Drosophila melanogaster: one gene and its partner. The protein of the gene in region 2 interacts with the protein of the main gene of each other region in a pairwise test. Each region holds a gene or a part of one and is shown on either strand. Other genes may lie near its edges. The genes, in order: Golgin104 and CG7785.

The links.
Region 1: the proteins of CG7785 (region 2) and Golgin104 interact in a two-hybrid assay, tested with the Drosophila melanogaster proteins (one large-scale study listed by BioGRID).

What each region holds. Positions count from the first base shown.
Region 1 is NT_037436.4:16,348,166-16,354,001, forward strand, and holds Golgin104 (golgin 104), read right to left. Parts: upstream 3,787-5,836; 5' UTR 3,675-3,786; coding exon 2,955-3,674; intron 2,788-2,954; coding exon 2,668-2,787; intron 2,609-2,667; coding exon 2,545-2,608; intron 2,483-2,544; coding exon 2,328-2,482; intron 2,267-2,327; coding exon 2,124-2,266; intron 2,041-2,123; coding exon 1,860-2,040; intron 1,825-1,859; exon of another isoform or gene 1,752-1,824; intron 1,646-1,751; coding exon 698-1,645; 3' UTR 582-697; downstream 1-581. Other genes in the region: mRpS34 (mitochondrial ribosomal protein S34), read left to right, coding at 2-568; Tcs3 (Threonyl-carbamoyl synthesis 3), read left to right, coding at 3,889-4,003, 4,065-4,750, 4,806-5,048; Pdh (photoreceptor dehydrogenase), read right to left, coding at 5,160-5,450, 5,515-5,836.
Region 2 is NT_033777.3:18,019,910-18,024,382, reverse strand, and holds CG7785 (uncharacterized protein), read right to left. Parts: upstream 2,784-4,473; 5' UTR 2,670-2,783; coding exon 2,564-2,669; intron 2,278-2,563; coding exon 1,711-2,277; intron 1,654-1,710; coding exon 1,556-1,653; 3' UTR 694-1,555; downstream 1-693. Other genes in the region: CG7794 (uncharacterized protein), read right to left, coding at 1-290, 349-574; DNaseII (deoxyribonuclease II), read right to left, coding at 3,311-4,307.

The DNA of each region.
Region 1 (5,836 bases), on a different chromosome or scaffold from region 2:
AATGGCCCAAAAAGTGATCAAGTACATCGGTCGCACCACAGACTTTCGCGGCAACACGCTGTGGGAGCTGGTCTCAAACCTGCCCAACTGGGGTGTGGGCCGTCTGCTAATACGTAACATGTTCCAGCGATATCCGGAGCCCTGCTACATGCGGATTCTGAAGGTGCAGTCCGTGGACGAGCAGCCCGGCGAGATCCGCAAGGTGCGGGTCACTGTGGAGAAAACGTGGCGCGGCGTAACGCAGCCAAAGCCTGTGGAAATCTACAGCACCAGCTATAAGGCGGACTACGAACTGGTGCCGCAGGATCAGGAAGCAAAGTATCTGAACAACAAGAAGAAGGTTGAACCAGTGATACTGCCCACCAAGATTGAACTTCCGCCTCTGCTCCGCGAACTGGTATCGGAGGAAACGGGCAACCCCAATCCCCAGATGAAGGTCCACTACAAACTGACCGACAACAAAATGGCCAGATTAGCCAAGGATGGAGAAAAGCCAACTGTTAACTTTGCCCTTGGTGTGGGCCAGCCGAAACCCGTGAGCGCCAAGCTTTACGAAGGATTATTATAAGCCTGGGGACGTTGTTGAAATATTAAATACATATATTATACACTTAAACATACGAACATTTGATTTGTACACTATCTACACGCGGGTTAGACTCTGGAATGGAATACTATGGAATAAGAAGACTGGCATTTACTTGCAACTGCCCTCCAGGGAGCGCAATTTCCTCGTGAGATTATCCACTTCGAGTCCCAACACATCGAGGTTCTCTTTCAGCGTAATATTCTTCAAGAGCGTATCCTCGAGCACAGCTTGCAGTTTCTTGTTAATCTCTAGAGAAAGTTCGAGGGACATGGCTTTATTCTCGCCTCCCGTCTTCGATGATCCACCACCATAGATGGCTGCCATGATACCATTTCCGTACTTGACCAACTCGCTTTTGTTCTGATCGCTCCGCGATGTGGTTAATGCGCCGGCAGTCTGATCCCTGAGCATGTAGTGCTGCACCACCTTGGATTTCTTCTGCACCTCGGCCACCAGAGCGGCCGTGTGGTTCTCCAGGAACTCGATCCGTTCGGTTTGGCGGGCAGTGGCCTGCTGCAGTCGCAGAATTCGCTCTACGAGGACTTTTTTGGACGGTACCGCCTGGAGATCTTGCTGCGGTGGCGGCTGTTGCACGGTGGTGGCACTACTGGCCACCGTTTCCGATTCGGAAGACTCGCTGGCCCGTCGACTGCCGCTGTGCATGCTGCCGTGGCTACTGGAGCGACTATGACTCCGTTGTTGAGGATTCTCCGTTGGATACCCATTGATCGCCTGCTGACAGTTGCTGCAGTAGCTGATTGGTGTCTTCGGTTCCGTAATTCCCCTTTTGTACTTGTTCAGCTCGCGATGGAGCTCTTTCAGCACGGTGGCATGCTTGTGCTGGGTAGCCTCAAAGTCACCCTGAACATCCTCCAGCTTCTGCTTGGTCAGTTCGTACATCTTCGTCTTTTCGGACAAATGCTTGGCCAGCAACAGTCGCTCCTCGTTTTTCTCCGATGCCTCCAAACTTAGTTGCTGCTCCAGTTGATTATACTTGGTGTCGTAGGTGAGCTTTTCCTGCTTCAGTAACTTGTTCTCAGCATCAAGTCCCTGCGCCTGCCAAAATAAAGGAAATAACATCAGATCCTTGAACATGGTATGGTTTAGGATGCATCTGATACCGGCATTTATCTCAACTGCTTAGAATTGCTAGCCATTCAAAGCCTCGGTGGCGCAGTTGGCAGCGCGTAAGTCTCATAATCTTAAGGTCGTGAGTTCGAGCCTCACCCGGGGCATGTACATTTTTTGGTTTATTTTTACTTGTACTCACCTTTGCTTTGGCCAGGCAAATATCATTCTGCAGCTGCACGATTAGCTCACTCATCTCCTTGTTAATTGTGAGTAGCTCCTGCCTTTTGACTTTCAGTTGCTCCAGGTCCGTTTCGTTGTCTTGGACCAAAGCCTCCAGTTTCTGGACTCGTTTCTGTTGGTCCATCAGTTTTTCTTCGTTTCTACAAAGAAAATTATCATTTAAACATAAATGGGATTGTATGGATATATTCTGCCTCTAATGTATACATTTCCTTAAACTTACATTGTGTTCTGAGTACGCAGAAGCTGCAGTTCCTCCAGTTGCCCCCTGAGCTTTGCGGAGTTAAGCAGCTCATCACTGTATGAACCTTCTACGGAATTGTGCAGCTCTCGCAAACGATTATACTCCTCTGTCAGCTGATTATGCTGCACAAGAAAATTTTAAAATAGTTAAAAAAGATAAGATATATTCCAAAACTTGATTTACCTCCGTGGTGATCTCCTGAAGCTGGTTCTGCAGTTCTTTGTTGGCTGCGCTTAGTTTTTGCTGCTCTTTGGTGAGCTTATCCAGAGCCTCAGTCTTGCTGGTAATCTCGTGTTTCAAGAGTATTGTGTTGGCTTCAAATTCCATTTTAAGTTTCTCTGTGTATAAAAAGCGAATGGTAAGACCAGTTAAACATATATCATTGAAAAAATAATCGAACCATTTGCCTTTTCCTCCAGTTTATTGGGCGCATTCTTTTCCTCTTCCAGTTTGCGTTCTACAACCTAAAATGGGAACCAAGTTCAGTGAAGATCAAATATAAGCTTAGGTAATCATTGCGTACCGCTTTGGCTTCTGTTTCGATGTTCAGTTTGTTTATGTGATACTTGAGCTTGGATTCCAAGTGACCCATTTCTGTTTTGTACTTTTCGCACTCCCTCTGATATTTTCTGACTTCATTGCACTGATAAGGAAAAGATAAATGTTATGATAAGAGATTTGTTATCTGCACAAAATTCGGAATTGGAGCTTGTATAACTCATAGAAGAATTAGTTTTATTGCCAATTAAGCAATTATTTGATAGTCAATCTTTCGTTGAATTATAGAAGCAGCAAAGTATTCCCACCCACCTTTTCATCGATGATGTACGTCATGCGGGACTTTTCTTCGCTCACAGCCAGGAATCTGGTGGACACATTCTTTACTTCCTTTTTGGCCTCGGCCAGCTGCTTCTCCACCGCCTCCTTCTCCTTCTTGGCGTCGATAAGTAGCTTCTCCTTCATGGCGAACTTAATGACGGTGGCTTCCTTCTCCTTGTTGGCCATTTCCATTTCCTTGCGGCAGGCCTGCTTCTCCTTGCCCAGAATGGCGTTCTCCCGCTGAATGAGCGTGATCATATTATCCTTCTGGACATTGGACGTACGAAGTTGTTCCAACTGCTGTTCGTAGTTGCGCCGCTGCTCCTCAAGCTGGGCCAAGCAGTGGACATGGGATAGGATGTCGTTCTGTGGGGGTTGCGAAGGGGTTTGCTGCAGTTCCTTCACCTTTTCCTGGGCCTGCAGATCCTTGAATCGCAGACTTAGTCCTTCCTCTTCGATTGGCACCTGCTCCAGTACGGCTGCCTTGAGATCCTGCTCTATTTTTCCCTCATCCTGGTCTGTAAGCTGATCTCCATTAGACTCAGTTTTCACATCGCTTTCTTCCAGCTGCTGTTCAATGGAATCCGCTTTCATATCCACGTCTCCAATTGCTTTCCCCTCTATGTGGTTAGAATCCCGGCCAGAATCACCATTTTCCACGCTGGCCGGATTTTCCATCTCAGCCGGCGGTGTTGCCTGCGCTGATTCCATTATCGGATCGGTTATTTGATCATCTATTTAAATTTTACAATGAATTTCGCGTACTTTTGCTATACAACAAAAGTTTGATATTTGCAACCAGCTGTTAGTTTGGAAAAGTTGGCAGCCCTCCTTGAGCAGTATGACCATTGCTGCCACTCGGCGCGAAGGGTAACACTAATGTTTGTTTACATTGCAATTTGCTTAATTTGTTAGAATTTTAAACATGGTTTGCGCTTTGGGTATTGAAGGCAGTGCCAATAAAATTGGCATTGGCATAATTCGAGATGGTAAAGTACTGGCGAACGTACGTAGAACGTACATTACCCCACCAGGAGAAGGTATTGCCACATTCTAACCCGCCGGCTAGTACAGATTTAATCATAACCAATCATTCAACAGGTTTCCTGCCCAAGGAAACGGCCAAACATCACAGGGAAGCCATCCTGGGCTTGGTGGAATCCAGTCTAAAGGAAGCCCAATTGAAATCCTCTGATCTAGATGTTATTTGTTACACAAAAGGCCCAGGAATGGCTCCTCCTTTGCTGGTTGGCGCCATTGTGGCTCGCACTTTGTCGCTCTTGTGGAATATCCCGCTGCTGGGCGTAAATCACTGCATTGGACACATCGAGATGGGTCGCCTGATCACCGGTGCCCAGAATCCTACAGTTCTCTATGTGAGCGGTGGAAACACACAGGTTATTGCCTACTCCAATAAGCGATATCGCATCTTTGGCGAAACTATAGACATTGCAGTGGGCAATTGCCTGGATCGATTCGCCCGCATCATTAAGCTGTCCAACGATCCTAGTCCGGGCTACAACATCGAGCAGCTGGCCAAGTCGAGCAATCGTTATATTAAACTGCCCTATGTGGTTAAGGGCATGGATGTCAGCTTCTCGGGGATTTTATCCTACATCGAGGACCTGGCAGAGCCGGGCAAGAGGCAAAATAAGAGAAAAAAGCCACAGGAAGAAGAGGTCAATAATTACAGCCAAGCCGATCTTTGCTATTCGCTGCAGGAGACCATCTTCGCCATGTTGGTGGAGATCACAGAGCGCGCCATGGCACACTGCGGCTCAAATGAGGTTGGTTGCAACAGTTTTCCGAAATTAATCTATGAGTTAACCGACTTCTTTTCAGGTCCTTATAGTTGGAGGTGTGGGTTGCAATGAGCGACTCCAGGAGATGATGCGTATTATGTGCGAGGAACGCGGAGGCAAACTCTTTGCCACTGATGAACGTTACTGCATAGACAACGGACTAATGATTGCCCATGCTGGTGCAGAAATGTTCCGCTCTGGCACTAGGATGCCCTTTGAGGAATCTTATGTGACTCAGCGATTTCGAACGGACGAAGTGCTGGTCAGCTGGCGGGATGACTAATCACCACAAGAACTTATTTCTGTGCATCGTTTGTTTATTAAATAACTAGTGTCCATAATAACTTCATATTTGTAAAATGCATGTGTTTAGGATGTGAACGAATTAACCCACTTAAAGGGCCTGTTCCTTGCCCGTCCACTGGGGCTTAATTTCCAAAGGGTAAACGCGCTTACCCTCGATGACATAGACAGCTCCGTTCTTGTCCTTCTCCAGGACATTCAGAATGCATCGAGAGACATCAGCGGCACTCTGCTTGTTTAGCCTATCCAGGATCCTATAGGTCTCGTCACTCGTTTCCGGGAAGATGATCTTCTCCGTAAAGTTGGTGAACATGTCCGTCATTGTAGCTCCAGGACAAACAGTCACAAACTTGATGCCCGAGCGTTGATAGTACTTTTCGTTCTAATTAAGAAAGAGACTTAAATGAAAAACCTAATTCAAAAGATATGTAAGAAATTCTTGTTACCGCCAAGCACCGGGTGAAGTTGATGATGCCAGCCTTGGTGGCTCCGTAAACGGGAATGATGAACATTGGATCCAGACCCACCACCGAGCTCATGTTAACCACAATGCCACCCTTGCCGCCATTATCCTTGCCCATGTAGGGCAATGCACTCAGTGTGGAATTGATGATTCCACCGAGATTTACCAACAGAGTCCTCTGCACATCCTTGTCGTTAAAAATCCCGGCTACATTGACCACAATATCGATGTTACCGAAGGTCTTGGCTATCTCCTCATAGGTGGCTTCCACACCCTTCTTGTTCGCCACATCCATCTTGATGATC
Region 2 (4,473 bases):
AACGAGGAACTCCACAACAGTCATCTTCTTGCCAAAGTCTTCGACCAGTCTCTCCATGATGCGAGTCCCTAGCCCGGAACCAGAACCTCCGCCGATTGCTCGAAAGACCAGGAAACCCCTGAGATTTCTGCAACGATCCGCCACGCGACGAATGGCGTTCATGGAGCGATCCAACAGCTCGCTGGCCATCAGATTGTAGCCCCTGGCGAAGTTACTGCCACTGTCATCCTTGCCCGTGATCAAAGTATCCGGATGAAAGAGGTTGCGGTAGGAGCCGGTACGGATTTCATCTGGAAAGGAAGATAAAAAATTTATATGACACAATCCAAGCTTCTGGCGGAAACTTACCTATCACTGTGGGCTCCGTGTCGATCATGACGAGTCGAGGTTGCACACACGGCTGATGGCTGGTGAACTCAAAGAACGTGAGGAACGAGTCGTCCATGGGCGACTGGGTTAGTCTTCCATTGGCCAAAATGCCGTGCTCCAGACAGAAGAGCTCCCAACAGGCGTTGGCTATCTGCACACCGGCCTGGCCAATGTGGATCTGGATGATCTCCCCCTTTCCGGACATGTGTCATATCTTAATTTTAACCATTAATTTCCTTTCTCTGGGAATGTAGTTTTCCAAAATGTTCTAAAATCAAATCGAATTGACAATCTAAACAAGGAAAACTTGCTACACAACGGATTAAGTACATAACATTGATTTATTGTCCGCGCGCGGATTAATCAGTTTTCGAAGCGTTGGATACGTGTAGATACAATTTATTAGATATACAGATATATTCTTATATTTAGTTAGGTAATTCCGTGCTCGAGTACGTTGCCGTTGTAAATTGGAATGTGTACGATGAAGTCAGAATTGAATTGTGGCCACCTAGTCCTACAAAAAAATTCATCTGTATCTGTATGCAGATACGCGTATCTCTGTGTATAATACAAATGCTACGTCAAGCTACGTAAATAATTTACAAAACATTAATAAAATTATACAAATACTTTCGGTTTGGATAGTGCAAGGACTAGAGAGTTTACAAAGTTTATACACCTGATGTCTAAATGAGAACAGAACAGTGCATTTTACGACTATAAGTAAATATGTGGTGAAAATCAACAAAATCGATTAAGATATGTGTACAAAGTAAATTGAAATAATTTAATAGCTGTTTTGGTTGTGAGATAGAATTCAGCTTGGGAACTTTTCTTTTTGACTAGAGAAGAAATATGGCAAAGGAATAACTAAAACTAAAACTAAAATGTGTAAATAATTTGTTTTATACTGAAAGTTCGCATTTTAAAACTTAATCTAGAATGCATATTTAAAATGTCATTCTTGTAACTTAACTTTTACATTAAATAAATAAAGTGTTACTAGACAATAATGTATTTCATTTTTTTTAAAGGTAGTTGTCCGCATTGGCAGAGAAAGTGCCACAAAAATTACTTGAATGAAATGCGTTCCTAAAGTCCTAAAATGCACCGTCTTTTAGTTATTCTTGTTAATGCTTTGTTCTCATGCTGCTAATTTGTTCAAGGCTTTTGTGTGGACTATCTAAAGAAGTGACTGTTCCAATAGAATGCGTTCGAATCCTGGTGGTGGTCCGTGTGAAAAATTATCCAAGATAATGTCCAGAATGGCGCCATTGCCCACTAAAAAAATTAGGTTAATTATGGTGATAAGCTTCTCTTAAGAGTACGAAAACTCACCATAAATGACGGGAAATAGTGCTGCTCCTCGTACATTTCGAAATGGAACCTCCAGATTCTTTCCATTGAAGTAGAAATTCAGCTCCACGTGGTCAAAGGCGACGCCCACAATGTCTCCTTCATCGGGAAAATCTCGCTGTGGCGATGCTATCAACGAATCACCGATATCCACATCGGATGATGCCACTCCAGTGGTCATCAGCAGATCTTCCTGCTGCAAATCCTCGATGGCAATGAGTCCGGCCGCTTTGGCAGCGCTATTGTTCAGGATACCATTGCTCGTCCTCGCTGGCTGAGTGGTGCAAGCAGACTGCACCACTGGTCGGAACTCCTCGCGGTCATTGTGGCGTGTGGCATTATCGGAGCACAGGCACCAGGACTCTCGATCCCCGCCGCCGCTCTTGCGACTGAGATCCGTTTGACGCGTTGCCAAGCCCACCGACCAGCTGCCGCCGTGCTGGATCTTCACCTCGAAGTAGGACTTCGATTGGACCAAAGGCGCCGTGGCCAGGACGCCGCCAGTGCCCGTTACGCGCAGTTGGTGTGACAGCAGGATTACATCAGGTCCTGCCAAATGGATGATATGATATACATATTATTAGTAAGATACAAGATGGTTAAGCCTGTTGAATGAGAATATAAGCACTTCTATTGTATGTACATATATATTAATATCTGATCACGTATCTGAATTGTGCGATAAAATTGGGAATGTTGATATCTTTATTGGGGTATCACTTATTATCGAAGCTACATATCTTTTGGAAAAACACATTAGTTCTCTCGCAATCGCTTCAGTTGACCATTTTAAGGATAGTGTATCTTAATCCTTCTGAATTTAGTGTAATTTTACCCATATGCGCTGCATCCAGGTGAACATCGGGCTCCCGCAGGCGACTGGTTGCCGTCGGTTTCCTTATGTGTCCACCATTGAGACAGGTGCGTAGGCAGCAGAACATTCCCAAATCTATGAAGGTTTTCCGACTCCGAATCTAGTTTTAATTTGGATTTTTAAAAATCGCCAATAATTTTCGCTTCTTCGCTTGGTTTTGTTTTTGTAAACAGCTGTGCTCTTTTTCCAGCTGATGGTCATACTGAATTTGCATTTTCTGGTATATGTGATAATAATGGGTAGAAGAGTGACGGATAGGTGGCGCTATAAATGAATAATTAGATGCAACCAAATGCAATTGACACATTTGTAAATAATTTATACATGTTTGTTGATATTTCAATGTTTTTTTTTTTTGGCAAATAGTTTAGCAACAGCTATAGAATTAAGAAAAGTTTAAGTACGAGCGCCACCTAGTTTTCAATGCGCTTTTTAGTACCTAAAATGTACGACAAGAGTGCGTTGAAGAAATGGCGCTAGCGAGTGTCCGGAAAAGAGCAGAAAGAAAAAGAAAAGAAGTTGCACGGCGCCTTAAATTTAAAATTTAAATTATTATATATTATCTATAACAAATGCAAATAAGTTCTTTGTATAAATAATACCTCTTTTCAACATCTTTCAATTTTCTTATGCATTAAATGTAATGCAAAAATGGTGTTTATTTAATTGTTGACGCAACTTTACAAATAGTCTTAGTTAGTTCAGATTCTATTCCTGTTGGGCGCACTTGTCGTAGTTGGTGACCAGTTGGCGGTACAGATTGGATACCCTGGCGCTCTTGTGGCACACGGTTCCACCACCACGATGCAACTGACCTTCTTGCCGGTTGATGTCGCCCACACAAATCCAATCTCCGCCGCCAACTCGCCAATGGTAGATCAAAATGCCTGTGGGACGAGATACCGCCCACTTGGAGTGATCTTGTGTGGTCTTAAAGTCCACCGATAGCTCCGGATTGGAAATGGATTCCACATTGAGAACCTTATCGGACTTATCGCAGCTATTCGGTAAGTTGCCGGCACCGTCGCGCCACGCCTCCACAAAAAGACTGACATCCAGAGTGGGTGCGACCACATCGGCGTACAGCTCCACATTGGCGCGTCCACTCTTGCCAAACAGCCGGAACTTCTTGCCGTCCAAGCTGCGCACCTCCAAGTCCTTCTGGAACGGTGATTCCGTCCGCCACTGACCATGCAGAGCCCTTTCCAGGCTCGGGAACAGCTCATCGGAGCGAGTGGCCAGCGGGTTGCGTTGATAGTAGAAGTGCGGTTCATTGTACACCAGAATCTGACCAACCTTCTCCAAATCCTCGCCCTTCAGTGTGACGCAGAGCATGCTCTGTGCGTACTGCTCGCCGGATGTGGGATAGCTGTAGTCCGGAATTGTTGGAAATTTGGGCACCGAGTGGACAATCCAAATAGCCGTCTCCCCATCACTGGCCACCACTCCTTTGGCATGACCACCGCTGCTGAAAACCGTGCCATTCGGCTGTTGATCGTTGTAGGCGGCCAGCAGAGTGTGGCTGGGATCGTCGTTCAAGGGGTTAAGGGTCTGGGCAGGCAGCGATAGGGGATCACTAATGAACTTTCCCGACATCTGCCAGGTGTCATAGTTCTGGCTGGTCACGTACAGGTACTTCAAGCCACTGGTGTCCTTGCCCAAATCGTTGTGCTGGTAGTGCTTGGGCAGTTTGTAAAGGTGCCACCTAAAATTATAAAGGAATATTTGAAAAAAAATTATTAAATAAATTAAAAACATGTTTATCTCATCGAGAAAACCCCTCAATCTTTGGAAATTTGTTTTTAAGATATTAAAAAAAAAAAATAATTACCATTTAATCTATTTTTGGAAATGGAAAAGTATTAAAAATG